Notamacropus eugenii: one gene and its partners. The protein of the gene in region 4 binds, or shares a complex with, the protein of the main gene of each other region. Links are inferred from orthologs where the notes say so. Each region holds a gene or a part of one and is shown on either strand. Other genes may lie near its edges.

Region 1 (7,186 bases), about 330 Mb from region 4:
AATGCTGAAACACATTACAAATAAGGAATTACGTGGGAGAAGTATAAAATATGACATCAAAGAGTATGATCAGACTGAAGTGAACTCATCACCACATAGACAGGCAACCAGTGAACTAACCAGCCTTTGTGCTCTACTAGGATCCACACAATGGAAGAGGATGCAAGAAAGGGCCCAATGAGAGCATTAATGAAAGTAAATAAAAAAACACAGGCTGGACAGGGATGAGTTGCAATCTGTACCACTGGAGGGAATACCCAAATTGATAAGAATGAATTACCCTTTGAAGATATTTATGTTGCAAGTGCATTACAACTCATTTGACCCTTCACAGTAACTGTAAGATAATATATGTATTTTATATTTATGTTATCCCCATTTCACTGATGAGGAAACTAAGAATTAGAAAGGTTAAGTAATTTATTCATGGTCAGTCACACAACTAACGAGTGTCAGAGGCAGGATACAAACTCAGGCCACTCCTGACTCTAGATCCATTTCTCTTTCTCCCACAATAGCAGACAGTAATAATACTAAGTAGTATTATTGCCTTGGGGACTCCATCATCCTGCACTGTCTTGTTCTCCTCCACTCTCTTCCTAGGATCTTAACCACAAAAATTTGAAAACATACTACAGCTTTACAAAAAGTACATAGCTTTAATCACTTATAAGAAGATGAAAAACAAGGGAGCATGGTACCACAGGAGCAGACAGGTCTAGGGTGTCAGATAAGGATTCAGCATTTAACCAGGGGCCTACCTTTCAAATAGGACGAGTTGAGTCCAATTGGTAGGTAGTGATCAAGAGTCTTCTTTCTCTTGGAACCTAAAGAGAATAGATTGTCAGAGTAGACAGATTGTCAGATTAGACAGAAAGTACTTCCTAGAAATGAACTGGACAATCAATCAAGAGAAGTCACATATCTTTCCCATCTGACGTGTTTTCTCAGAAAAGACTCTTCAACTAATCTGGGCTATGTGGAAACAGTGGGAGGAAAAGGATGAGCTTGACCACTGTTGAATGTATATATTAATAATCATAGTGTTCTCATTTAAGTGTCATGAGAACCCTGTGAAGTAGGTATTAAGATGATTTTAAAGCTGAGCAAACTTATGACTTATCCATGGTGACAAAGCTGGTAAGTATCAGAATCAAAATTTCAATTGAGGTCTTTATGAATCTGAGGCTGAGAACACAATCCACTTGGACCCACTGTGGATCCAGATGTAGGATTCATGTCCTAACACCTCGGGGAGAGGAGGTTGGAGGAGAAGGAAAGAAGGAAATCCTTGCTCACCGGCAATTAGTACAGGTATAGAAGACAGTCTGTCCTTCATCAGCTGAGCGCATCTGCCGGGTATGATATGCCATTCCTTCATGACCACAGTTGGAACAGCGCCTGTCAATCTGAGAAATCAGTAAATTAGGAGGGACTCATAGCTCCCTGCTCAAAAACTTTCAGTGGTTCCTTAGTACCTATAGAATTTAATATCAACTTGTGCGCCAGGTATTTTACGGTTTTCCCACCACAATCTATGTCTAACTTAGCTTATTATTTATAGTATTCCCCTGCTTGTGCTCTACAGCCAGACAAAAGGGATTAATTAACTAGCTGTTTCCTGATCCTAACTGTAGCCTATTGACCATTTCTAAAATGTGTTCACCTGTTGAAATTCTTCTCTTCCTTTAAGGCCCAATGTAATACAGCAGAAAGATGCTGAATTTGGATCTGAGATCAAATCCCAAACTGCCCAACCCAAGAGCTGTTTGTTTCTAGGCAAGTCACCATCTGTCTGGGCCACAATTTCATTTTCATTGAATGAAATCAGACTGGATAATCTATAAGGCTCCTTCTATCTCTGGTAGCCTAAGATTTACAACTCCTTTATGAAACCTTCCCTTATCTTTCAGCTAAAACTGATCTTCACCTTCTCAGATTATCTTGTATTTTGCATGAATTAGATTTAGCCTTTACCAATCCACTTTGCCTCAAAATATTACACACTGCAGGCCCCTATTATATCTAATGATATGATGCAGTACACAGAAAAGATAATAATTATTTGTTGAATCTGCTGGCTTGATCCATACATATGTTAAGACTTCGAGATCTAACGTCTCATGGAGCCATGTAACTGAAGCGGAATGACTCTCACTCAACTCACCACTGGTCCCTGGAACTCGGGCCCCTCTTCCTCTGGCACCATCAGGGGTGTTCCCAACTTGTGGAACACGACCGAGGTGGCCACCACCTTCCCCTCGAACTCTGGAAGAGAAGGAGGAGGGCTGCTCGTTGCTCAGGCACAAGGTGAGATCCTGCACCGTTTCCCCCGGCCTCTCTCCGTCCCTACGGGTCCCACCCCCTGGTTAATGGCACCTTCAGGGCTGGCCTCTGGACACCAGACTGTCTCTCAAGCTCAGGGCCTTCCCCCACAACCTCCCTGCACCGAGAATCCATGCTCGTCAAAGCCTCTTATTCCAGAGGGGCTCTTACCCCGCACGTCTATGGAGAAATCACACCTGGGGCAAGTTACTGTGTCCAAAGTTCCTGGAAGAGGCAGAATTGAGCCGCATTCGGGGCAGAAATCCGAGTCCGAATGGAAGCTGGAGTCCATGGAGATGACCTGGGAGGAAGAGACTAAGCGGGGGCCATTCTTTTCTCCTCGCAGGACCTGGGGTCCGGCGAATCCCCTGCCTCCCTCCGCCCGTGACTGCTCTCAGTGCCCGACCCGCATCCTGCCCCAACGGTAGCTTCTCACCAGGATTCCGGCTCCAGGAGCAAGCCCGCGCCTCGGATCGGGACGTCAGCTCGCGCTGGCAGACGCGCCGGCCTGCGCTGGGCTGGGCCACGCGGGGCTGGGCCACGCGGGGCTGGGCCACGCGGGGCTGGGCCACGCGGGGCTGGGCTAGGGGAGCGCCGGGCTCTGGAGAGGCTGTAGCGTCACAGTGAGAACACGTGACCGCCTCCAGCATCCTGGAGCGCCGCGAGATTTCCGCGTCCCCGCAGCCCCGCCCACGGCGGACGTACGGGCGCGGCCTCTGTACCTAGGGTTATCTTCTAGACTCGAGCAGACGCTTCTCTCCTCTTGTCCTCCGGGTCTAGTCTCTGTCCCGAGGTCTGTTCCGCAGTGTGACTTTAAGGAACAACCTCCCCCAGGCCTTTGTCCCACTGCTGCTGCTGTTTGCACTACACAGTAAGGGGACCCGGAGGCTTCCCTATGGGTGCTGGAGCCGGACTCGCTGTGCGTTGTAGTTTTTTTTTTTTTTGCCTCTTCTCCCTTCCTAGGCCATGGCGGGGTTGGGGGGGGGGGGAGCCTTTGAATGATGGGAATTTAATCTCAGATGAATCAATCTGGCAAGAGTAGTCGGAGATCAGAACTCAGACATGAGCATAATTTCATCTCTTCCTCTCGACCCCAGACCTTCATTTTTATAGAGAAAATACAAGAAGCCAGGGAGTAAGGAGGATTTCCATGAGAAGATATGGTGTTCCCATTCATGAGATATTTGGCAAGGATAGATGATTTAGGTGTACACGGGCAGCGGCGTCACTCTTGGAGGTCTTTGTAGTTAAGGAAGCAATGAGTTTTAACAATATCTGTGAGATTCCAACTGGGTCATGTGCAACAGTGGAATCCATTTTAGTTATCAAATTAGCTGATCCATCAGTAAGCGTTTCTAAAATAGGTTTGCTTTTGTAAGTGGAATTTTTGTTTTTAGTCGTTTTTTCAGTAGTGTCAAACTCTTCATGGAATTTCACAGATATTGTTACAACTCCACAAGAACCTCCAAGAGTGATGCTGCCCATGTAAGCGTAATAATACTTAATGCTTATATAGGAGCAGCTATAATACATAGGTATGTATCTATATGTATCTATAGGTACAATAGATAGAGCTCAAGGTTTGGAAACAGGAAGATTCATCTTCCCGAATGAAAATCCAGCCTCTCGGTTTACCAACTGTGTTATCACAAGCAGGTCACTTAACCCTGTTTGCTTTCCCTGTAAAATGAGCTGTATCTTTGCCAAGAAAACCCCAAATGAGATCACAAAGAGTCCAACAAGACAAACATGATTAAACAACAATGCTTATATAAAAAAAAGTATGCATTAAATAAACTTATAAAACATGCCAGGCCTATGCTAAACACTGAGAATACAAAGAACATGCAAAAAAATGATCTGTAACTTCAAGGAGCTTACATTCTAATGGAGACATGTATGTTAAGTAAGCACATGTAGAATAGAGAGAGGGTAGCCTTTGGAGGAAAGGTACTAGCTGTTGTGAAGGGACCAAGAACTGCAGAAGGGGGTACTTGAACTAAGTCTTGAAACCAGGGATTCCAAGAGGTATGGAAGTGAGGAGTTCATGGAGGGCAGTCAGTACAAAGGTGAGCAGATGGGAGAGAACTTAAATGTGTGAGGATTGTCAAATAGACTGGATTGTACAGTGTGTGAGGAGAGTAATGTGTAAGAAAACTGGTGTTGGGGCAGACCTAATTCATGTTGGAATGAAATGAAGCACTCATAGATCATTAGAATATCAGTTAACAAAATGTTTGCACAGCCATATCATAGAAAGGATATTCAACAAGGATACTCCAGCATTTTAGTTTGCATAGACCAGGAAATTTGTCTGGTCACCAGGGCAGAATGTGGTGATTCTACAGTCACAGGTTTTAGGACACCCACCAAATCTGAAGGACCTTGATATCCATATAGGTGGCTCACAGGTAAACCATGCCATTATGACCAGAGGCTACTTCAAGGAAAGCACAGTTTGAATACTCTCAGCCCCCATCAACTTCTTAGAACAACTTTGCTTCCTTTCAAGGAAAAACTAGCCTAACCCATGTAGTAGGGAAGGGGAGAGCTCTAATAGTAGTGATTTTATTGCAACTGGAAAGCTAGGAGGAGTCCAGGTTATGAAGGACTTTAAATGCCACATTGAGCTTATGTTTGATGCTATAGATAATGGGAAAATATTGAGTGTTTACTGAGTGGGGTAAGGGGCAGGATGGATGACTTTGTCAAAGTTACACTTTAGGAAAGTCACTTTATGTCAAGAATGGATTAGAGTGGGAGAGACTTGAGGCATAGAGACCAATTAAAAGGTTGTATATTTCAGAACAGGTAAGAAGTGATCTGAGGACCCAAACTGGGGTTGTGACTGTGTTAGAGAAAATATCTAGTGGGATATCAATTTTGCAATATCTAAATCATTTAAATATTAAGCATGCAATCTCATGTAACCTCAGACTAGGTCAGTGATGACATAGAAGAATGTTTGTGACCTTCCCTTGTGTTGACATCAACCTGCACTATAAATAAACCCATGTCAACAGCAACTTCTCATCCTAAAGGATGTCAGAAGATTATTCAGAGTATTAGGGACTAGAGTGTTGGAGAGTAACTCTCTTGAATGATGATTTGAGAGCAAGGGTAGGAAAGGGAAAGGTTGGTAACTAAAGCTTAGGGAGCAGACTGGGACAAAGAAGAACCAGAGTACAAAGATGTTGTATCTGCAGATTGAGGCCCAGAGGGCAAGAGCCAAGAGGCTACAGAAGGAGAAAGAGCTGAAATGTCCAGAGATAAGAAATGTGCCAGAAAAGAAAAGAAGTTCTAAGAGTGCTGGATCTAGTGTAGAAATATGGGATAATGGAATACCAGAAGAGAAGCCAGGCTCTCCTGTGTCCAGCTCTACACTCCCAGACTCAGAATGGGTAAAGCTAAGTCCTCAAGAGAAGTAAGCACAATTTTGGGTTATTGTTCCATTTTTGAACAAATCAGGGGGCAAAATTTTCCTTATTCTTCTCAGAAAGGGCAACTTCTTTACATTGGGAAAAACTACCCTTTTTCTCTCTTTTGTGTGTATGTATATGTGTATACATATCTACATATATATAAATATAAAATATACATATATAAATAATCTATGTATTTAATATATGTGTGTATATGTGTATGTATCTATCCACATCTAATGTAGTATTAGTGGGAAGGGAGAAAAAAGTCCTTGCTTGAGAAATACCCTTATTTACAGTTATATAAGCATTAGATTTCTTGGTCCAACTTTGTGATAGAATTTACTCATTATCTTAGTTATTTAAAACAGTTTCCAAAGTTTTAATACTTATGTCTTTTTCATTGTTTAGATTATCCTGGGCAAAAAGTACCGAAGACCCTCGCATTGCCATAGGTCATCACTCTCCACTAGAAAAAAAAATTGTGGTAAGTTAATTAGCATAGCACTGTGCAATAGAGAGTTATGGTATCTTCATTTAGCAAGTTTCCGTGCTAGCAAAATTTCCCAGTTCAGGTTGGAAAACAAAATATTAATATTTACATAATGCTTTAAGATTTGCAAAGCACTTTACAAATATGATCTCATTTGATTCTCATGGACCACAGCCCTCTGGGAGGTGGTGATACTATTATCCTCATTCTACAGAATAATTCTGAAGACAAGCTAAAGTGACTTGTCCAGATCACACAGTTATTGCTAGTTAAGTGTCTGAGACTGAATTTGAACTCAAGTCAAACTTTTGGGTTGAAAACTCTCAAAAATAATCATCATGGTATATATATTTCTTACTTTGTTAGCAATGAGGCCTCAATATATATATACATATATATGTATGTATGTATGTATGTATATACACTTAGCAGTGAAAGTGAATCAAGCCTAATTGCTATTTTTACCAAAGGTAGAGAAAGCCAGTCAGTGTCTTGTCTCTGAGGGAGCCTTCACTGTCTTCCCTTGTGTACAATAGTGTAGAAAAATGTAAAAAAAAAAAAAATCCCTTCATTTTGACAGTTTAGTTGGTCTACATACTTGTGTACAATAATGTAGAAAAATGGAAAAAAAAAAATCCCTTCATTTTGACAGAGTTTAGGTGGTGTGCATACTCCAGCAGCAAGAAATCTGTTAGCTCAAAGACATAAAGAGGAACATGAGACCCTCTCTAAAGAAAAGGCTATGTCTTTTGACCACCGACTTGCTAAGGCAGAGAATTACTACTATACGAGAATCATGGAAATGATGGAAGAACAGAATGAATTTAAAAAGCCCAGAATGGAGCCAGTGACAACACCAAAAAGCCAGAGAAGCTTAGAGTCTGAAGAATGGGACTACGTAGTATCAGAAAGAGAGTTAAAGCAAATAGAGTGTCACATACACAGA
Region 2 (6,838 bases), on a different chromosome or scaffold from region 4:
CATGACAGAACTTTCCCTAGTTGCCTCCTTCCTCCAAAAACCTTTTATTTATTTTGTATATAGTGATAGGGTGAGAGGCAGTATGCTGTAATGGACAGAGAATTGCCTTCCAAATCAGGAAATCAGAACTCTGAACCATACCGTCTGTGTGACCTCCTGGCAAATCAGTTAACCTTGTTGCCCTAGTGAATTCTCTGAAAACTACAGTACATAATTTTCAGAGAACGGGTTAAACTGCATCAGCAGAGAAAGCTTCATTATCAGTGAATTCCCCACACTAATGAAAGCACAGGTCCAGTCCTGATACTTTTTAGAAGATCACGGGATCATAAATTAAGTGCCCAAAGGGACCTTATTAAGGAGATCAGAGTCCAACATGTTTGTCTATTTCACAGATGAGGAAACTGAAGTACAGAGAGGTTAAATGATTACAATTTGAATCCACATCCTGACTTCAAGTCTGTGCCTATCCCATGTCTACCAACAGAATATATACTGGAGAGAAAAAATTGTTTTATTTTTGTCTTTGTATCTCCAGAACCTTGTAAATGCTTGTAGATTATCTCAGAAAATGTGGACAAAATTGTAAATAACTACTGAGAAAGAGAAGGAAGGATTAAGCATTTATATAGCACCTACTATGTGCTAGGAAAGGTGCTAAGTGCCTTTTTTTTAAAACAACTATTATTTCATTTGATCCTCACAACAATCCTGGGAAGGTAGGTGCTATTAATTATTGCCATTTACTGTTGAGAAAACTGAGGCTGACCGAAGTAAACTGACTTGTTTGAGGTCTCACAGCCAATAAGTATCTGAGGCCAAATCTGAACTAAGATCTCCTTCTCTGATTCCAGGTCCAAAGTACTATCCACCAGACCACTAGCTGCCACCCTTGACTTCCTATTGGGGGTCTTCAGTGCTGCCTTTCTCAAGTGATCCCAAAGTGAAATACAATCCAAATTCAACACTTCTTTCAAAGCCTTCCTTGATAATCCACCTCCCAACCCATGACTCTCGTTCCACAATATGTATGTGCGTGTGTGTACATATATAGGCTGTATTTTGCACTTCCTTCTATACTATTCTATTAAAAATCATCTCTTGTAATCTAACTTAAACTTAAAAATCCTACTATACCATCTTTGACTTGGTGAAATCTCTTCCCTGAGGGCCCGCCTCTTCAGTGCCAGTTTTAATTTTTTGCAATTCAAAGAGGTTGACTTCTTGGCTTCAGGAACTGTAAGTTTTCCTCACAAGAACAAGCATCAGATGCTGAATAAGTTGTTCGGAGGGTGGCACTTGGTAGATAACATGAGTCAGGGAGAATGGGGTCTTATTGATGGGGCTACCTTGGGGATGGACAGGTTAGAACAGTAACAGTTCTTCTGTCTTCTCAATAGAAAAAAAACAGCTTACTGAAGAGTAGGTGTTCAGTTTCATTGCTTAAAAGTAGGTATATCACTGTACAATAATGCAACATTTTAAAAATATATAACTTATTACTTGTATTACATTGATTAGCTGTTTGAGGTTGAAGAGCAACCCCCAACACAACCAAAAGCTTTTCTGTATTTCTTGTTTGTTTACCTGACCCTGGGCAAATTCCTTCTCAGTGCCCCAGGCACTTTTCCAAGACTCTAAACTGCAGAGTAGGTGGTGCCTTCTGTATAGAAATAGGAGGCCTTTCTTCACAGGGAGTTTCCTATACCTTTGAAATGATGTTTGATCCAGAAAACAAAAAGCCTCCATTCCTTCCCCCCATCCCCACACAAAAAAAGAAAAGACAACACTCTTTAATCTCCACCTTCCCTAGGGGCTGGCACACAATACAGGTAGTTTGTACAAAGGTACATTTAAATGGCCCTTTGGCTGTTGCTTTACTAGTCCAAGCATTCAACAACCAAGGCATGACACTTGCCCAGGATTTTACACCAGCACAGATAAGTGGGGAACCAAAAGGCAGAATGGCCCTCTGAAAATCTGGGATGACCAGAGACAAAACATAAAGAGCTAGTGGTTGAGAATCCCTGCGTCAGCTGCTAGTTCAAGACAGATATGACATGGGGCAAATCAGAACACAGCTCCAGCCTCCCCAGCAGAAGTTCATAGCTTGAGAGTAGGAGGCATATCTTCCTGAAGGAAGACCATCGCTAGCACCTAGATGACACGGTAGCTTGTTAAGTCCTCCTCCTTCTCTCCCTGGATTCTTAGACCCAGTAAGAAAGGCAATATTATTAGGTGCTGCTAAGTGGTTACATAAATGCCAAGCATCATCACCCCCACATCATGGTTGGGGAAACTTCCACCCTTGTGTCCCCTGACCCTGGCCCAGGCCCTGTCACTACCTGCCAGAGGAGGGGCTCCCCACCCCTTGGGAAGCCCTCCTAGGGCCTTGTGCTGGGCATGTGGTGATGAGGTTCAGACTCTGGGAACTTCCTTGAGCTCCCTTGGAATCTCCTCACTTAACCTGACCTTTTATACACAAATTGAGCTCCTCGGGTATCTCCCCACAGAACCTGGCTTTTCATACTCAAATCTGGGACCATTACCTGTTATCTCTCGATTGCCCCACCTGCTTCCCACCCAAACCCTCCAATGTCTGCTATCTCCTGATAGCCTCCAGCTGTTTCCAGCCTGTGACCCTCCTTGGATTCCCTCCTAGGACTTCTCCTCAAGACCCTCCCTAAACCCCTCCTCCCATCACCCTGGACCCCAGACCACCCCCCCAGATCCCTCCTACAGTCTTTTCTGTATTTAAGTTCCATCTCGCCCCCATGAAGGCGCTCAGACTCTGTCTAGCTGGGATTCCATCTAGCCTGCTTGTGAATACAAGCCTTACACATGCTTGGGCTGCTTAAGAGGCAACTCAATTAGGCGAATCCTTAATAAACTTTGTTTTCTTTGGCTTTGAGAAGGCTTGAGTGAAATTCATTCAAGCTCCACCTGGACCGTCGGTATCTTGGGGTCCCCCTTCACCCCTCAACCTCTTCAGTGGTGCCCTTCTGTCTCAGGCAGGAATGCACTTTGGTAGATTGAGCCTCAAGTCACGAAGACCCGAGTTCAAATGCAGCCCTAGCCAGCTAGGCGACCCTGGGCAAATCACTTCTCTGTGTGCCTCAGTTTCCGCATCTGTAAAATGGGGACGGTGAAAGCGCGGCCTGGCAAGGTAGCGCTTAGCACAGCGTCAGGCACACAGCAGGCGCTTAATAAACGCTTGTTCCCTTCCCTTCCTGGAACTCCGGGCGCTTAGCAGCGCAGCGACCACACAATAAACACTTAAGATTTCACTGGCTGACAGGCTAAAAGAGGCCTCGGGACCTGGCTGGGGCCACACCCCCCGCGGGGGGCCCCGGGCAGAGCTCGAACTCGGGTCTCCCTCGTCAGCTCAGCCGGTTCACATCGCGCTGGGCCGCCAAAGGCCGCGGCGAGGGAGGTTGGCGGGGCTCCCCCGAGGTCCCCGCGCTCCCTCCTCCTCGGCCGCCCCACCACACTCCAGGCCGACCCACTTACGGAGCCTCGGCCGCCCCCTCCGCGTCAGCCGCTCGTCCGGACCGCCGCGATGGCAACCTGGACGGAGGACTGAGCGCACCTGGCTCCGCCTTCTCTCCATGTCCCCACCCGCTCCCGAACTCTAGGCTCCGCCCCCGCCACGCAAGATGGCGCTCGAGGGAGGGGCACGACCTCATTCCCACTCCGGCTCCTCCCCACGCTCTCCGCTTCCGCCTTCCTCCTCGCGCCAATCCCGCTCCCGCTTTCTCAGCCGGCAGCCACCTGATCTCGCGAGATTTCGTCACCCTTCTTAGTCAGGCGGCGAGCTCCCAGCGTCCTTTTTATTCCTCGCGCACCTGTAGGTCTGCCTTCATCTCTGCGAGTGTGGAAGGGAGCGCATGGTGAGTGGCCCTCTTTCTCTCTCCCGTCTTCCTCCCTGCCCGGGGCAGACTTCTCACTAGGCCTCTGGTGACTTGGCCCTTAAGAGGAGCCAGGAGGCCCTGTTCGGGTTTCGCCGTGCGGCCTCCACTGGGCCTCGCCCCGGTGGGGGGCTAGCTGGGACGAATCCTCCGCGAATGTCGGAGGCCCAGGAGCGCCGGCTGGGTCGTGGGCCCGGTGGGAATGCCCCACTTAGTGGGAGTCGGTAATACTTTTTCTTCCCTCGGGCCACACCGATATTTCGATCTTAATCGGCGTGATTAAAGAAACGGGAGCTTCTCCGGAACCCCATTCATAGAACAGGAAGCAGGCCCCAAGAGGGGAGGCGCCACGTGGGTGAGATTCAGCGGGTTCCTCCGCGCCGCACGAGCCCTCACGAGAAGGGCTTTGGGAACCCGAGGTTCTGGTAACGTAACGGGTGAGCGCGCGGGGAGATGGTGAGTGGCATTTCTGATGTAATCGGGACCACGGAGAGACGCGTCCGAGGCCGCGCGGGCGGGAGGAGCCTGGGCGGGGCGGTTGGGGAGACGCGTGAGCTCGCAGGGAGGTGGGGAGGAGGGAGGGCCGGGCCCAGCCTGCAGGGACCCCCCTCCGTGCCGCAGCTCGTGTTCTTGGCAGAGAGCCTGGGGGGGGGGACATTTTTTCCGGCTCCTTTTACAGATGAGGAAACCGAGGAAATAGTGGCAAACAGGGTGAAAAGTGACTTGCCCAGGCCTGCTTTGCCATGAGACCGCCTCGCTGTGTGCCTCCCCTCCTCCCCATTGGATCGTAAAAAGGTTGGAGATGGAGTAAAATGGTCTCCAAATTAGCTAAAGTACAAAGGAAGCTCAGGGAATTCTTATGACTGGATGAAAATTAGGAAACTAGCCAAAAACTGCTCCCAAGTACAGCCAATTAACTCCTGTCACTGGAGGGGGAGAGAAAAAGAAATCCTCCTGGGGGAAAAAGGTGAGTGTTGGCTATTCACCTAGGACTTTAGTAAAAGAAATAATTATACATAATATTTGTATAACATTTCTGAATAATGACAAGAAAAACTACCCGTTCTAGACAAATACGTTGACCACCAGATCGAATCCTGGGTCTCAGGAGGACCCAAGTTAAAGTCCTGCGGGACTTACTGGTTCTATCATCCTGGGCAAGTCACTTTTAGCCTATTGCCTGCCTCAGTTTCCTCAACTGTAAAGTAATGGTGATAATAACATCTACCTTTTAGCAAGGTTGTGAGGATCAGATAAGGGTTTCTTTGTAATTGTGTTTTCCTATTCTCTCCCCACTGTGCCGTGTGTTGGAGGAAGGGGACCCATAAACAGTACCGATGCAGGAAAAGACTCAGCACTATCCACTGCCCCCTCTTAGCTGCATGGAATAGGTCATAGGAATTGAGGCTGTTGAAGTAATAGTTTCTGGTGTTTGAAGGAATTAAGGCATGTATTTGAAGTCCCCTACCGCAGTGATCGGTACTAGTCCATGCCTGCTATGTGCCAGGCACCGTAGTAAAGGGATGGGGTGACAGTTCCATGCTCACCGAGTGGGTACATCAGACATCCCAGATGGTACAGAGAGGTTAGAAATTGGGTGTTCTGTAATCTCCCTGCTTAAATGGAGGTTTTGTAGTCCATGGCTTCTCTTTCCAGTCAGGGACAGAGGGTGGTGATAAGGTGGAGTAACCATGGCTGTTGAGATCTTTTGCAAGATGAAGAGGTTTTTTCCAATAATGAACTTCCTGGGACTTGAAAGTGCAGACAGGTGAGAAATAAGGCCAGAACTGGAAGATCCTTAATTGGAAGCTTTGGGGTAATGGCCCCACCCACCAAAGAGGCAGAAGGTAATTTAGTGATGCATTAGAGAACCAGAGGTTGATCAGCTCTTATAGCATCAAGTTACCGGTAAAGACCTGTCAAAAGTCTACTAATCTGTACATCAGGATCCCTGCTGGCCCCATATTAGCTTAATTTAAAAATGTGATACTAAGTTGTACTGTGTTTTTATTGTTAAATGTTTCCCAGTGACATTTTTGAGGTATAAATTGGGTTGAGAAGTCTTGAGCCTGTAAAAACTTGAGAAAGGAGGGAAAATAACCTAGGATCTGGTAGATAATGACCACTATTGCTAGTGAAATTTAACGAAAAATGTAAATAGAAGCAAATATCTCGGACCAAGATAACAATTTTATTAACTGGGCATGAACCTGAGGTCAATGGCTGCTTCAGTTTCTAGCCAAAGACCCCAAATTGAAGATGCAGCTCATTTTTGTAAGCATAGAACAGAAAAACAGTACAGAGCAGGTAATATGTATGGTGTTGAGAACCCAATAGTTGATGGTTACATAACTGAGGTATGGGGTACAAGATTGGTTGGAAGTTTGGTAATGAGGGGCGCTAGCAGTGACCACCTCCTTTCCTCCTGTGACTAAAAAGTATTCAGCTTCAAGAACTAGTGACTTTGGATAACAAACTAGATATTCTTGAAAGGATTGCTTGGTGTGGTGTAAAGACCCTTATGGCAAACCACATCCTGAGCTTAGCTAAAGAGAACTGGGTTTCTAAACTTAAACCTTTTACAGGCCAGTTGAATTCTGGACTATGCTCATGGACAAAGAACCCTGATTAAGGCAGTTAACAGGACAAAATAAGTGAATTGTAAATAGGATCCAAAAAAAAAGTAAATCAGTTTAAACTTCTCACATCCAATATCTAAATTGGGCAAGTCAGCTACTTAATATTAAGTACCTACTATGTGCCAGGACCTGTACTAAGCAGTAGGGAAACAAATAAGGCATTCCCTAACAGGAAGACAATACACAAAAGCTGAAAAAGGAGGTATGGGCAAGGTATCCTGCACTGGGAGCATGGTAGAGTCTAGTCCAAGAAGTGCATCTGGTGGGAAAAGAGTTGACTGGTGCACGAGC
Region 3 (7,426 bases), about 64 Mb from region 4:
TCAGCTTCTCCCCCTGAAAGAAAGGGGGCAGTCTCCACACTTCCCACCCACCCTCTGGACTACCCCCTACTCTATGCCCACCCCTGCAGCAGGGCTCCGTCTAGGGGAGGTGGGCAGGCTTGCAGGAGTCCTCCCAGGCCCCCACGTGTGTGGTTGCTCAGGGCTCCAGGGTGCAGCGAGCTCCACCCCAAGGAAAAAAACAAAACTCTCTCCACGCGCGGAGGAGGGGGTGGCCGGAGGAGAGGGGGGAGGAGAAGGGCGGGTAAAGGGCGCGCGCCGCCGCGGGAACAGGGGCGCGCGCGCCAGTCTCCTCCTCCTCCGCCCCCCCCATTCCCTGCTCCCCCCGCCTCCGCAGCCCGGCGGGGACCCGGACGCTGCGCAGGCACCGCCAGCCCCGGAGCGCCGCGGCCGCACCGCCCCCGGGGACCCGGATCCGGATTCCTACCGCCCTCCCCCCCTTCCCCGAGCCGCCAGCCCGGGCCAGCCCGCCCCGGGCCGAGCAGCTGGAGCTCTCCCCTACCCCCAGCCCCGGGGGAACCCGCCGCCCCCCGATCCGGAGCCGGGCTCAGCAGCAGCCGCGGCCCCAGCGGTCGGAGTCAGCACCTCCTCGTCCCCCGGGCCTCGCGGCCCAGCCCGGGCGGCGCCCCCGCCCCGGCCCCCGGGGAGCCGAGCCAAGGCCGAAAGGGAGGGAGGCAGCCAGGCGGGGAGGCGGGCGGGCGGGCAGGCGGGGGCGTACAGGACTCGCCGTCCCCGCCGCCCCCTCCGGCGATCCGGGAGAACTGCGGCTCCCGCCCCGGGAGGAACGCGGGCTCCCCCGCCCCGCGGCCAGGCTCGGCCTGGGCCTCCCCGCGCCCGGCTGCCCCGCGCGTCCTCCTCCGTCTGCCCAGCGTTCTCTTCCCCCCCAGCCTCCTCCTCCTCCAGCTCCCCCCGGGCAGGATTTCTCCCGGGGGCTCGGGCCCCCTCGCGCGGCCTCCAGCTCCGTCCTCCTGCTCCAGCTCCTCGGCCCCTGCCCACGTTCTCCGGCCCTTTCTCCCCTTCCGTGCTCCCGGGGTGCCGTCCTCCCGAGCTCGGCCCTCGCTCCCCTCCCTCCACGTTGCTCGATCTCGCCTTCCGGCGCAAGCTCTCGCTCTTCCTCCCCAGCCCTGGTCCCGCGATTACCGGGCGCAGCTCGGCGTCCGGGCGCCCCGCTCCCGCGGCTCCCTCCTCCCCCGCTCTGCCGGGCACAGCCGCAGCTCCCTCCCGCGGCAGCTCCTCCTCCTCCGAGCGCGGCTGGGGCGGCGGCTGCTGAGGCGGCTGCTGCTGCTGCTGCTGCTGGGGCGGCGGCGGCTGTGGCTGCGGCGGCGACGGCTGCTGCTGCTGCTGCTCCTCGCGGCGAAAAGCACAAAGCACAGCGCCCTCCGCCTGCAGGCAGCCAGCCCGCCCGCCGGCCGGCCCCGGGCTCAGCGAGCACACCCCCCGTCGCCGCTGCAGCCTCCGCCGCCGGAGCGGGAAGGAGGAGGGAGAAGGGAGGAGGAGGAGCGGGGAGGGGGGGCGGGAGAAGCGGGGCAGCGAGCGCGTCCTTCCCCGTAGAGCGCACACCGACCCCCGGGGAGCGAGCGCCCGCCCGCCCCGAAGGCTCCTCTCCCTCCCACAGCCCAGCCCGGGCGGGCTCCACGGGGGGCAGCTGGGAGGAGGGGCGGGGAGCTGGGGGGGACCCGGGCGGCCGAGGCGGAGGGAAGTAAGGGGGGGGAGATGGCGGCGGCAGCGGTGGCTGGTGGCGGCTAGGGGGGGGCCGAGGGAAAGAGACACGCAGCCGCCCGGATGGCGGTGGAGATCGGGGCCGGGGAGAAGGAGTGAACTGGCGGCGAGAGCGACCTCCCCAGACCCGTAGGAGAACTAGCAGCCTCGGCCAGAGCTGGAGGGCGCAAGGCCCGGGCCCAGGAGAGGGGACTCCCTGACCCTGGGAAGGAGCAAAGGAATCTCCATAATCTATTTTCTGCAGAGCTGGCACAGAAATTTTGCTTCTCCGTCTACCTCCCGGGGCATAATCCGTGCCCTCTTCCCTCTGCTAGCTCCTCGTTACTACCACTACCTTCACCCCCAAATCGGCGCTGCGGGGCCGGGGAACGAGCTGGCCGCAGAGCGGCGGCTACCGCTTTCTCCCCTTTCTCGCCGGGCTTCGCTCGCCTTCTCAGAAAAACACTGTCCCAAAATCTTGTTTAAAAAAAAAAATCACAGCAAACCTCCCTTCCCCCCCATTTTTTTCCATTTCTCTCTACACCCCGGAAACGCCGCGGGAATCGGGTCTGAAGTGCTGCCTCCAAGGAGCAGGCTCAGTTCGGCTCGGCATGGCTCGCTCGGGCCTTCCCCGAGCGCATGGAGATCCGCCTCCCGCAGCTCCTCTCTCCGTTCCCCCATTACCCTGAAATACGGCGACGCAAGGGCTTCCTTACCCGGCTCCGTGTATCTAGGTGTGGGGTCGAGGGCCGCGGGGGATCCGGGGAGCGGTGGCTGGGCGAGGGAGCGGGACGTAGAGCCGATCCGCAGCTACCGCTGCAGCCGACGCCAGGGGAGCGAGTCGCCAGACAAAGCCCGCGATGGCGAAGCGGAGGGACGGCTAATGGCGAGCCACACGCGCGGCGCTCCGCCCGCCCCGCTCCGTCCGCCCGCCCCGGCGCAGCGCAGCAGCGCTCCGAGCGCTCGCCCTGTCAGTGCCCCAGCCCCACCGCCGCCGCCTCCCAGGCCTTCCCCGGCCTCTCCTTTCCCCCTCCTCTTCGGCCGAGCTCCCTCAATCTCCCCCCACCGACCCCTCCCCTCCCGCTGGGGGGCTGGAAAAAGGAAAAAACCCCACCACTTTTCCCCTCTTTGTGGCTTTCCCCTTCCTTCTCGCACTCACCTGCGGAGCCGCCGGGAGGGCCGGGGGTGGGGGGCGAGTGGGGCTGGTGCCGGGGAGCGCTGGTTGAAAGCTAGCCAAGCTCTGCAGCGCCCGACCCGGGCGTGGACTCCGCCGCCAGTCCCCGCAGAGAAATCGTCCTCCTACCCCCGCCTCCATCGCTCTGCTTTTTTCTTCCAATCAGCCGGGCGCTTGGCGGCTCCTCCATCCTCCAGCCAAGCTCCACAGCCCTACAGCGGACTCCACTCCTCCATCTGCTCTCTCCGGCTCCTCTCTTCCCTACCCTGGGCTGGAGAAGAGGGGAGGGGGGTGGGGGGGGAGAGAGACGGAGGTGGATTTATTAGGAAACCTGCTTCTCTTTTCCCCGCACACCACCCCTCCCTCCCTTCTCTTTTCTCCCTGGCTTCTCTCCCTCTTGCTTCTTTTCAACTCTCCCTTCTCGCGACTAGGGTGTTGTGTGTGTCTCTGTGTGTGTCTGTGTGCGCGTTTTTTTTTTTTTATTGCTCTTTGCTTTTGCAACACTGAAGCCAAGAGAAGAGGAGGAGGAGAAAGGGGGGGGGTATGATATGTCTAAATTCTCTTCTTATATTTCCAGAAAAACAAAAAAGCACCCCCCCCTTCGGTTCCAGCTCTGTTCCTTTAGGGCCTTCTGGTTTTTATGCCCCTCCGTGGAATTCGTAATACGCGTGATTTTCTCCAAAAGTTCTCCCCTAGGGTGGGCGATGATGCTGAAGAGGGAGGCTTGTCACCAACCAGAGAGAAGACTCCCCCTACCTCCCACCCCTAGGCGAAAAAAACCCCCAAACCCGAGCTCGAGAGCGAAGGGAGAGCTAGGAGCGAGGCGGGGCTCCGGGGAAAGGGCTGGGGAGAGGTGCAGATGGGGAGCTGGATCGGCCTTCTCTCCTCTCTCTCCCTCTCGGTCTGTCTCCTTTTCGCCCCAGCGAGATCCCCCTTTAATTTTTTTTCTCCCCTTTAATCTAATTTCTTCCAACTCCACCTTTGTTGTTATGGGCGTCACGGTCCGGCTAGCCAATCCCCACCACGGGATCAGCTTGCTTGTCAAAAAGGCCTGGGTCATCCCGGAGAAAGGGCGGCTGGAGCAGTCTCAACCCCCCCACCCCCGCCCGGCGCGAGAGGCGCGGGAGGGACCCAGGCAGCCCCAGCCCCCGCCTGCCGAAGCTGGCCGGGATCCCCCTCTACTCCTAGGCGGCCTCTTTCCTGTTAGGCCTGCGTCAGGGGCGGGGAGAGAAGGAGGAGGCATTTCTCAGCTTTAACTGTCCCTCCGGGGCCTGGGGTTTATCGGAGACTTGCAGGGGGTGGGGGGCGCCTGGGCCCTCCCTCCTCCTCTGCAGGAGGTTTCTGCTGGCCGGTTGGTTTTCTGTCTCCTCGGCGGAGGAAATGGCTCTTTCAGCCCTGGGAACCCGAGGGACCTTCTAGGAGGGGAGCTCCTCCACGAGGCTTGTACTGGTGCCTGGGCCGGGGTGGGCGGTGGGATGGCCTTTCTCCTCGGGCGGAGGGCAGCGAGGCTCGCCCTGCACTCTCACGCACACTCTGGTGCGGATACAGTTGCTTTTCTCACCCACAAAGCATGTGTTTAGGGGATGGCCGGACGCTTGTGTATTCCCTCCTGTTTCCAGGGAGGATTCAAAACACGTTCCCAGCATAACCTCATCACACATCTGCCTGCTTACATAATGGGGGGGAAGCCCAGGCCAAAACTGGTGCTTCTGAGTGCTACATTCTCCGCTAGGGATTATTTCATTTAGGATATCCCTGTATCCACATTCGCTGTGCCTGGAGCACAACCGAATCAGTGTCTGTGGATGGTGACAATGTAGCAACGGTAGATGGATGTTCTGTGCGCTCACCGGTGTATTACTGGCATGGTATTTCCAGCTGAAAGGGCCCTTGGAAGTGACCACGCAATCGGCCTCCCTTCTCGCGTCCCCTACGGTCCAGGAGGAAACTGAGGCTCAGGAAGATTTCCCTCTCCCGAATTAGACCTGGCTCCTAGCCTGCACTTACGTGCTGCTGGGCCAAGACACCATTATGTAAAGTACTTTGGAATGAAGCTGGGTTATTCCCATTTACAGGAATGGCAATTATGGAGTTTTTATTCCTTGACTGACAAAAGTCAGAGATGGCTCCCTTCCCATTTGGAAGCAGGCTGTTTGGTTTATGTCCACTGCCTTCCTCTTGAGGTTAGGAAGTGAATACAAGAGACCTGGCAGATTGGAACCCAGCTTCATCGAGCCTTCTTCCCCTAGCAAACCTTCTCCCTACTCACCCCCTCCCCAACCCCCAGGATAACCTGGCTTGAAAGGCATGAAGTAAGATAATAGTAAAAACAGTTAATCAACAGATTGACTTCATTCAAAAGCTCCTAGATTTAGAGGTGGAAGGAGCCTTAGACCCTATCAAACCCAACTCCCTCATGTTACAAATGAGAAACAGGAGAGACCCTGTAGAAGTTAATGGACTTGCCCAGGGTCATGCATTGAGTACATGAAACCGAATTTGAACTCAAACTTTCCTGACTCATTTCAGCTGCATTCTGGCCACTCACTCACTTCTTCACCTAGCTGCATTAAAGTCTAGATAGGGTAGACTCAGTGAACTCTGGAAATGTTTCAATTCACTTAAACAAAGACTGATTAAGGTTCTATTATGTGGAATAGCATTGGAGAAGCAAAGCTTGCTTTTCTTTCTTTTTCAAAGTGGCACAACTGTCTACCCTCATGGAACCTATATTCCACTAGAGGAGATAGATACAACATGAACACACGTAAAATACAAGGTAGGGTTTAGAGCATGATGACAATTCTTTTCTTTCCCTTTAATTTCTTCCATTTCCATTTTTGTTGTGGTGGGCATGGGGATCCGGCCAGACAATCCCTGCTATGTGACCAACTTGTTTGTGGAGGCAATGGAAAAAGGCAGGCAAAATGTACTCTAGAAAATATTCTAGCAAAATATGTAGATTTTTGAAAATCAATTTTTTGTTTTAATTTTCCTCAACTTAAATGGCAAAAAAAGTGAGTTTCCATACACGTAACAAAATAAAAAAAAAAGATCTTGTTTATGAAACCATGAATCTCCATTTTATACTGTTTCTAAAAGTACATAATAAATTTCACATGCTAATTTCAAAACCGGCTTGTCTATGCTTTCTGATAAACTTCCTTCTTTTCTGCAAATTTTTAGAAAAAGTTTCAATGGCTCTCTTTTTTAAAAGAATCACTTTTATTAAGCTTTATTGCCCCCATAGAGTTCCATCCCTAATCCCAATTAAAAATACACACAGAGATAAAAACAACTCCTTAATGAACAAACATAGTCAAGCAAAATGAATTCACATAGTGACCGCATCCAAAAATGTATGCCTCAGCACCTTTAGTCCATTACCTCTGTCAGGAGATGGGTAACATGCTTTCTCACAGGTCCTCTAAGAGATATGGTTGGTCATTGCTTTGATCAGAGTTCCTGCCTTTCAAAATTGTTTTCCTTTGTAATATTATTGTTCTTGTACAAATCATTGTCTTGTTTCTACATTAGTCTGTGCTGTCCAGATTTCTCTGAAATCTTGCTTTTCTGTAATTTTTTTTTTACAGAGTAATAAGAATTTAGGCATTCCCCAGTTGCTGAACACACCCTTTGATTCTAGCAGCTCTTTGCTTTTCTCCCCCCCCCCCCCCAACCGCCCCCCCCCCCCCCACCCCGTTACATCCCTCCCATACTGTCTTAGGATCAGGAAATTTGTTTTGTTTGTAACTGTTCTCTCCCAGCTATTATCCTTCCCCTTAACCTCAAATTATACACCACCCTCCCCCACCCTTGTTTCCCTATTGAGTTTAATGTATTTCTACATTAAATTGTATTGTGTGTTCAACCCACCTTTGTTTCAAATAAAAGTAAGGTGTAGCTGATGCCCATCCCTCTCGCTCCATGTTTGTGTGCTCTTTAAATGTGTAACAATTATAAGGAATATAAAATTCCACCCCTTTCTTCCTCCTTTCTACACTAGTATATTTCCTTTTATTTTACTCTTTTCCTTCTTAAAACCTTTAGAACAGAATCAATCTACCATCAGGCCCTTCTTTTTCTAATTTAATTCCTGCTATATAATACTCTGAAGACATTGAGGTTCTGAAGGTAAATGTCTTCTCCTATTGGAGCTTCAGTACTGTATCATTATACAACTCCTTCCATTTGCTGAACTAAATTTAGTTTTCTAGGTTTTTCTGGACTCATGCTGATATTTCGAAATTTCTACTTGGCTCTAATCTTTTCATCAGAGATACTTGAAACATGAGAGAAAAAAAATCCTTCCACCTTTTCCCTCTCCATAGGATTATATTCAGCTTTGCAGGGTAAATTATTCTTGGTTATAAGTCCCATTTTTTTTTTCCTTTTGGAATATCATGTTCCAACATCTTCCATATATTATGAAAGCTACCAGGTCTTGTGTGATCCTGTTTGTGGTTCTTTAGTATTCAAAATGTTTCTTTTTGGATGCTGGCAATATTTTTCCTTTGATATAGAGGCTCTGGATTT
Region 4 (7,878 bases):
GAAATCCTTTGGCTTGCTGCAAGTGACCAGAGGGAAGTAAACAGCCCTTAGGCAGCAGGTTGTGTAGGCCTGAGCTAGGTTCTACTCTATGGATAGCTGTTGAGGGCCAGGGTGGAGTGCGGTTTACAAGATCAGAATAGACCTTCGGGGAAACTGTTCTTTGAGACTGTGCTCATTATCATCCGGAATGGCCCTCCATGCCCCCCCCCTCCCCCCCCAGATGTTGCTGTCCAGGTGAGACAAACAAGAGAATTAACAGAAAACAAGGGATATGTAAAATAGAAGCCCTCTAGGCTCCCAGTCTGATTAAATCAGTCTTATAAGACTGATTTAATCTTATAAGACTGATTTAATCACTAGGGCAGGAGACAAAGCAGAATGTTGGTAGGCTTGCAGTTTCTGTCTATAAATACCCGGACCCTCAGATCAATAAACCGAGTTGGTCTTTCTTCTCCCGCCTCCCGTATCTTCTTCACCACATCACCGAGCCATGTGGAGATGCAGGCCATCTGCTACAGATAGCAATTGATTGGTAGCTGGTGAGCATGTCTGGCCCTTTCCTACAGAATAATGGCCTATTACCCAGAATGATGGCATTAGAATACTAAAAGAACCCTTTTATACTCTCTTCCCTCCTTTAGAATGTAAGCAGTTCATTCTTATTAAGTCCCTTCTGATTAATCACTCATTTTTACATTTCTTATTTTTCTCTTGACTCTTTTATTTGTATTTTAAATTTCCTTTTCAACTCAGGAGTTCATCAGGAATATTTGAAAGCCCTTTACTTCAGTGAAGCTTCATTTTTTGCCCTTACAAGATTGTATTCAATTTTGTTAGGCAAGTTGTTTTCATTTCAAAATCTTTACCTTTTGTACCTTGGAATATCAACACAAAATATTTTAATGTACCACAAAGAATAAAAATGATTGTATATGAAATTGTATTGTGATTGTACATAAGACTCTGGCCTGCTCCATCACCATATAGATCTACTTTACTCCAAACTGGCTGTCCCACCTTAGAGACAGAAGTCTAGTAAAAGGTAGATGATTCCATTTTGCCTGGAGCTGTCTGTCACATGAGAAGGTCTAACCACATAGTTCACTCTCCAGCTAAGCTTTGGGGTGGACTGCTACTAGTCAATCAGTAAACATTTATTAAGTGCCTACTATGTGCATGGTATTAAGTAAGGAGGATACAAAAATAGGTAAAGAACAGTTCTTGCCCTCAAGGGGCTCACAGTCTAATAGGGGATAATCTAATGTTGGGATTGGAGTTAAGAAGACCTGAGTTCCAATCTAGCCACAGTCATTTATTTACTAGCTGTATGACGCTGGACAAGTCACCGAACCTCTGGTAAGCTCTTTATAAACACTTACTTCCATCTTGCTCACTCACCAATGTGTTCCACCTCCATACTGGTTGCTTTATTTTGTTTTCCCATAGCAGAATATAAGCTCCTTGTGAGCAAAGGCTGTCTTCTTTTTGTGTTCTGAGAGCTTGACATGTGTTAAGCATTTAATAAATGCTCTATCCATGTCTGTAAACTTGTTATAGTTTTAAAAAATGTTTATAAAATTTAACAAGCCAGAAACAAACTTGTTATTTGTCTTCTCTTCTAAATTATTTTTCTGTGCATCTCTCTGGTTGTTAGTACCTCCTCTTTTACTTTATATGTACTTTGCATTTACTAATATGTATTTTCATATACTCAGCACATAGCACAGCGCCTGACTCACAGCGGGTATTCAGATAGGTTTGCTGATTAACTTTTTGCATACTAGTTCATAACAGTTTCTGTTGGCCATTGTTGTGGTGGCCAAAGGAGACCATTAAGCGTTAGATAGGGAGGACAACCAGGAGAGAGCTGTTATAGAGGTCAAAGGAGAAGGCAGTGTGAAGAAGGCGATGTTCAACAGTAAGGAATGCTGCAGAGAAATTAAGGAGCATACAGGGAAAAGTCTATTCAATCTGCCAACTAAGTCATTGAGTATTTGTGAGAGAGCAGTTTAAACTAAGTGGGAGCAATCAAAGCTAGATTGCAAGGTTCTAGAAGTTGATCACTGAAGGGGAAGAGATATAGGAGATAGTTTGAAGGGGTAACAAGATCAATGAAAAAAAAATTTAGTAGAAGGGAGGCTTAAGCATATTTACAGATAGACTGTAAATAAACAGAGAAAAAACTGAAGATGAGAAAATGATCCATAATGCATCAAGATGGGAGAAATGAGATGAACAGCTCAAATCTAAGGGTAATACATAGCATGGAGGTAGCTCACCTCATCTTCTGAGACTGGACTCTAAGCTGGAAGGTAAGGATGAACTTTCCACTCATACTAATGACCAATGTTGACTTGCGATAAATCTTTCAACCTTTCAAAGCTTCATTGTCCCTCTAAATCAAAAAATAATCACCTTAAGAAAATCACTTTTCACTCAGGTTCTCATGTGTAAAATTGTATAGCTGGATCAGATGAGCTGTAGAAGCACTTTTTAGTCAAAATTCTATGATCATGCGACTGCACTGTTTTTATATCTTTGCGGTTTAGCGAAGTACTTTGCGCATAGTAGCCATTTATTGTGTTGAATTAAATTTTTAATTTCATAAATTATTTCAGCTCAAGATTTCATCAGCCAAATCCTCAGGTGATGCCTGCAGCTCTTTTTGAAAAATGTTTTCCCCAATTTCATGTAAAAACAATTTTTAACATTTGTTTTTAAAAATTTTTTGAGTTCCAGATTCTCTCCCTCCCTTTCTCCTTGAGAGTGCAAGCAATTTGATGTAGGTTATACATTTGTTGCCTGTAGTTCTGTTAAGTTTCCTTACCAAGCTCAGGCATCTTCCTATCTGTTTTTCCATACCCATATTAATGTAATGGGGTGATGAATCCTTATTGATTTTTCCAAGTATATTGCCTTCAGAAACTGTCAGCCTTAGAGTTGGGAAGGAACTCAGAGATCATATAATCTAACCTACACATGGTAAGAGTCCCTTAAGAATTTACATTTAAAGCTGGAAAGAAACTTAGAGGTCATCTAGCTCAAATCTCTATTTTAGCGACGAGACCTTGAGATTAAACTACTTGCTCCAGGTCACATAGGTAGTACATAGATCCAGGATTCAAACCCAGATCCTACAACCAAATGCAGGGCATTTCTCATACGATACGCTTGCTAAACTATCCCTTTTAAGTGGTATCTTCTAGAAGACCTCCCATGAGGTAAACTCTTTTTCTGAGACATCCCATCCACTTCCTGAGCACTCTAAATTCAGAATGTTTCCTCACGCTGAAGTGAAATTTGCCTTTCTCTGATGGCTAATGAGCTATTTATTCCTAGTTCGACTTTGTGAAATGAAGCAGAATGGTCTAATTTCTCCTCCATTTGAAGGGCTGCACCCTATTTCAGAGCAGGCTCGTCTCTGGGCTGGGCGCCTCGAAACCTAAGACGGGCGAAATGTGCTTCTGTCTGCTCGCCTCCTGCCCAGCCTGGCTGGCTTCTCAAGTCACGTACTTGTGATCAGGGGACGCTCAGTGTCCTGCCAAGGCTGGAAGGGGAGAATTCCTTTTTTAAGGTTCAAGGCAAAGTAAAAGCATCCATTAGGAATATGTTGGCACGGGCATAATCATAACTATGCACAGTTAAACACTGTTTAACAGTGATTCCCGTCTCCCGCTTTCTTCTTCTTCTGCCCAAAACAGGAGTGGAGCGCTCGGACAGACGAGGACAGCCTAAGCCTTTCTGGCAGGACAGCTCCAACCCTCGGTCCTCGTGCTTCCTCTGCGCATCAACAGCTGCGCGCAAAGCCAAGCTGGCAAGTTCATCAAGAGTCAAAGGTCAGGGGTCATCAGCGGCCAGGCACTCAAGTGTCACCCTAAACCCCTCATTCTCCGGATCTGAGACCACAGTGACGGGAAAACCTATTCCGGGAATGCGGGATCCTCAGACGCCGGAAGCGGGGGAGGCGAGAGGCGCCGAAAAGGGGGGGGGGGGTCAAAGGAAGTGACGCAAGCGCTCTCTATAAGGCAACACGCGAGCGCATGCGCCGTCGGATCGTGCTCCGCTGTGCGTTTCACTGCATGCTCCCGGGCTGTCTGAACTTCCGCGGGGTTTCCTCTGGGTCCTAAGGAGAGGTGGAAAGAGGCCAGAGCCGAGCTCCGGTAAGTGTCAGAATGAGAATTCACAGATTCAGGAGCCGCTAACGGTGACTGGGCCTAGTCTCGGACGTCCCCTTACGTCTGGGCCCGCTTATTTATTTTTTTAGTAATGGCTCGGCCTTGTTGCCTTGGGAACTCGAGCCCCTGCCCTCTCCCTTCCCTCGCTTCCTTTCCCTCCTCTACCCCCGGGGAGGCGAGGCTTGGTTGCCATGGTAACCGCGTAACTGGGAGGGCAGACCGGAGGCGGGGAGGTGGCCTAGGACCCTCTGCTCGTCGCTCCGGCTGAGGAGGGGCGGTAATTGGTGAGGTCACGGCCGTCGTCTGTTAAGTCTCGTCCCAATTACGAAACCTCTGTGATGGAGGTCCTAAACTTTACGAAGCTAGTGATCAAAGCCCTGCGGTGGCGATGAAGATGATGATGGCGATGATGGGGATGGAGAAGGACTTCTACGGGGGTTTATAAAGTAACTTCCTCCTAACCTCACGACCCCTAGCAAGCGCCTACTACACCCAGCGTGTGCCCAGCGCTGGGCAGGGGGCAGTTCCCGCCCCCAAGGAGCTCGCAGTCTAATTGAGGGGACACCCTGCGGACAGATCCATGCAAAGACAGCTGTATACTAGGTAAACAGGAAATAGCGAGCCGAGGGAAAGCCCTGCAACCCAGAGGGTGGGGGAAGGCTTCCTGTAGGAGGCGGGATTTTTAGTTGGGACCAGCCGGGGAGGTCAGTGGTCAGAGCCGAGGAGGAAGAGCGGTCCAGACTCGGGGGTCAGTTTGAGAAAGTGCCTGGAGCCAGGAGAAGCGGAGGTGCCCAGCGTTTTTGTGTGCCCTGCTGGGAATTACGCAGCTCCGTGGTGAAGTGTCAGGGCAGGGATGACAAAAAGGAGGCTTTAAAGATCCGTGGGGCTTGCGAGGGCCATGCCGTAGGCTGTCTGATGATGCCCTCACAACCACCTTGGAAGCAGGGGCTGCGGCGGACTGATCCTGACTCAGGTTCTGCAGACCTCCAGCTCAGGGCTCTGCCCACGGTGTCACTTAGCTCCACGCGGACGTGCGAGTCCGGCGCTTGTCCTGTGCTTTTAGAGAGTGAGTTATGGTGTATGTAGTGAGAGCTGTCCTTGGGCCAAGGCTGACATGTAGTGACTGTATGACCCTGGTCAAGTCACTTATCCACTTGGTGCTGTAGACAACTCTGAGTTATAGAAGAGGCCCTGACCCACCTTGGTGGGAGGAGTTTTCTCATAGGAGTTCCCCCTGTCAGTGAAGTGACAGGTCCTGTCCCTGGTGCTCCTTGTGTGTTATTTCATTTGGGCAGACAATATGACTTACCACATTTAAAAAAAGAAGCTGAAGTGCCTAAAGATTAAGCCTTTGAAAATGAGGAAGCTGAGTTGATTTCTAAAGGTTCATCCACCTCTAACATTCCATGAACCTCTGTTATATTATATAATACTTTGTGGTGTACTCAGATTATTTCTTGTCTGTTTTTCTTCAACTAAATTGTTCTGTCATTCTTAATGAATTCTAAGCTCCTCTTATATAACAAAATATTAAGTAATTGTCTACAGTAGAAATCTCAAATACTCCCAACCAGATTAAGAAGTAATTGAAAACTATTTAGCAAAATAAATATACATAGAACATAGATAATGTTAATATGTGGTTTCTTAAGTTAATATGCAGCTTCAGGGATCCTTATTATTTAGAATTTAGTGGACTCTGTTTCTGTTTGGGATTGATACCATTGTTCTACACATCAAACCACTAATTAGAAAATTGTGATTCTTTTTACACTTTATCCTATCTCTGATCACTTGTTAAAGCAGGCTGGTAGAATCAGTAGTGTCTTGTCACAGATTTAACAGTGAGAGGACTTGAGTAGACTGTATGAGAAAACTGAGGCCCAGAGGGCATGTGTCACATAATTACTAATCAAAGGAAATTTCACCAAGTCCAGTCCTCTGTTAATATCTGTTAACTTGAGCAAAACCATGACTGATTTACATTGTTAAAACCTATAAAACTTGTATTAAGATCTTAGATTTGAAGCTTGAAGGAACCTTAGAGATCATGCCAATTGAGGCAGACACTGATAAGTGACTTGTCCAGGGTCACACAGTTAGGAATTGTCTGAGGCCAGATTTGAACTCAGGAAGATGAGTCTTCCTGACTCCATGCCCAGGCCTGACTCCAGGGACTCTATCTGCTGTGCCACCTAGGTGCCTATATACTGAAAGTGCTTAATAAATGTCTTTTTAAATTGATTTATATGGATGTTACCTTCTGGTCCATTTCAGTTACTACTGACAGCTCAATTTTGTTTTAAACTAAAGGAAATTCCAGGCACATTGAAGTGCATGCTATATTTGTTAGTTTTTTAAAAATGCTTTTTGAGCTATAGATTTATGTGCAGAATTTGTAAATATTCTTTTTCATTTGGAGTAGATATGGATACTTTCAGTGATGAACTAACGAGTCCTGGGGAAGAGGATGATCAAGTAGAAGCATCAGTAGGCGCTGGTCCAGAAATACATTTACCTTGGCGTTTACAGCACATCCAGAGTATAGGTAAGTGGAGCTGAACTATGGGAATAATATACACAATATGAAAAACAGATATAGGAATTTGGGCTTCCTGATTGTTTGGATTCTAGATAAATAAGAGTTACCATATCATGAGGATTTCTTTATAAATCTTATTCTTTCACTGAAAGTGGGCCTCATATACTCTTAGGGTTCTAGGGAAGTATGTTTCCCTAGTATAGGGTTATGAGCTATATACTATATGCAGTTATCCTTTCCACATTGAGAAGTAGGGGGTTAGGGGTGCAGCACCCCTGTAATCTGGAAAATCTACTTAAAATGTTTTGGCCCTCTCTTCGTACCAGAGAAGAGGTCTGATTATTTTCTTTTTCTTTCATGGAGTGTTTACAATACCTTATAAAATTTAGGTTAAGTATTTGACTCTGTGTCATCTGCTGTCCTTTTAGTTTCATGTGTGGCTTCCACAAAACTCCCCCAAAATTTCCTTTTAATTTTTTATGCTGGCCCACAATATATAGAAACCACAGTGGGGAAAGTTGTAAGGTGGAAAGGATAACTGTATAGTATATATTCTTAACTCTAGCTTATATTTTTTGGAAAGATAATTGGATTGAGAATCAGGCAAGACTTAGATTCTAGATGTCACTCTGGCAAATATTGTCATTGGGACTTTGGGTAGATAAATTTACGTCTTTGCTTCTTAGCTCCTTCATCTGTAAAATGAGGTGTTTAGACAAAATGACTTTTTTGTACTTGAGTTTTTATTTCATAATCATAAACTTAACTATATTGCCTATTCAGACTTGTGAAAGGAATCCAAAGAGAACTGTAGCAAGTGAGAGCACAAGCATTATAGGGTATGAGAGCAGTAGGAATTTAGGGGGCTCTTCCTGGTTTAGAGGAATGGTTTAGTGGTTAAGATAAAAGCAAAAAAATCCCCAAAAACAAAATAAGCCACTTATGAGAGGTGTCCACAGTCAGGAGTGGTGATCTTCTTGCTATTCTTGCCATCCCAGGAAATGAAGTACTCCATGGCTTCTATGATGTTCATATATTTTTTCACTTAGCCAAAGATCACATGCTTGCCATCTAGCCAGTCAGTCCTAAGATGAAAAACTGGGTGCCATTTGTGTTGGGCCCAACATTTGCTATGGACAAGGTGCCAGGACCAGTGATGAA

The links.
Region 1: TAF1A (region 4) and POLR1H share a complex: the UniProt entries of both Homo sapiens proteins name them as parts of the pol I pre-initiation complex. The link is inferred for Notamacropus eugenii from reciprocal best matches to the Homo sapiens genes TAF1A and POLR1H.
Region 2: TAF1A (region 4) and TAF1D share a complex: the UniProt entries of both Homo sapiens proteins name them as parts of the transcription factor SL1/TIF-IB complex. The link is inferred for Notamacropus eugenii from reciprocal best matches to the Homo sapiens genes TAF1A and TAF1D.
Region 3: TAF1A (region 4) and UBTF share a complex: the UniProt entries of both Homo sapiens proteins name them as parts of the pol I pre-initiation complex. The link is inferred for Notamacropus eugenii from reciprocal best matches to the Homo sapiens genes TAF1A and UBTF.

Annotation. Positions count from the first base shown.
Region 1 is NC_092873.1:83,974,236-83,981,421, reverse strand, and holds the start of POLR1H (DNA-directed RNA polymerase I subunit RPA12), read right to left. Parts: upstream 3,012-7,186; 5' UTR 2,762-3,011; intron 2,627-2,761; 5' UTR 2,618-2,626; coding exon 2,497-2,617; intron 2,269-2,496; coding exon 2,168-2,268; intron 1,410-2,167; coding exon 1,300-1,409; intron 828-1,299; coding exon 803-827; 3' UTR 762-802; intron 5-761; 3' UTR 1-4. Other genes in the region: putative uncharacterized protein ZNRD1-AS1, read left to right, coding at 5,517-5,749, 6,159-6,234, 6,893-7,186. UniProt on the Homo sapiens protein: Core component of RNA polymerase I (Pol I), a DNA-dependent RNA polymerase which synthesizes ribosomal RNA precursors using the four ribonucleoside triphosphates as substrates. Can mediate Pol I proofreading of the nascent RNA transcript.
Region 2 is NC_092876.1:164,941,115-164,947,952, forward strand, and holds the start of TAF1D (TATA box-binding protein-associated factor RNA polymerase I subunit D), read left to right. Parts: upstream 1-3,826; 5' UTR 3,827-3,890; intron 3,891-4,193; 5' UTR 4,194-4,345; intron 4,346-4,587; 5' UTR 4,588-4,775; coding exon 4,776-4,875; intron 4,876-6,838. Other genes in the region: C5H11orf54 (ester hydrolase C11orf54 homolog), read right to left, coding at 3,511-3,686. UniProt on the Homo sapiens protein: Component of the transcription factor SL1/TIF-IB complex, which is involved in the assembly of the PIC (preinitiation complex) during RNA polymerase I-dependent transcription.
Region 3 is NC_092873.1:349,813,283-349,820,708, reverse strand, and holds the start of UBTF (nucleolar transcription factor 1), read right to left. Parts: upstream 3,006-7,426; 5' UTR 2,876-3,005; intron 2,562-2,875; exon of another isoform or gene 2,433-2,561; intron 1,276-2,432; exon of another isoform or gene 1,159-1,275; intron 1-1,158. UniProt on the Homo sapiens protein: Recognizes the ribosomal RNA gene promoter and activates transcription mediated by RNA polymerase I (Pol I) through cooperative interactions with the transcription factor SL1/TIF-IB complex.
Region 4 is NC_092873.1:414,090,998-414,098,875, forward strand, and holds the start of TAF1A (TATA box-binding protein-associated factor RNA polymerase I subunit A), read left to right. Parts: upstream 1-4,868; 5' UTR 4,869-5,090; coding exon 5,091-5,241; intron 5,242-6,600; coding exon 6,601-6,723; intron 6,724-7,657; exon of another isoform or gene 7,658-7,878. UniProt on the Homo sapiens protein: Component of the transcription factor SL1/TIF-IB complex, which is involved in the assembly of the PIC (pre-initiation complex) during RNA polymerase I-dependent transcription.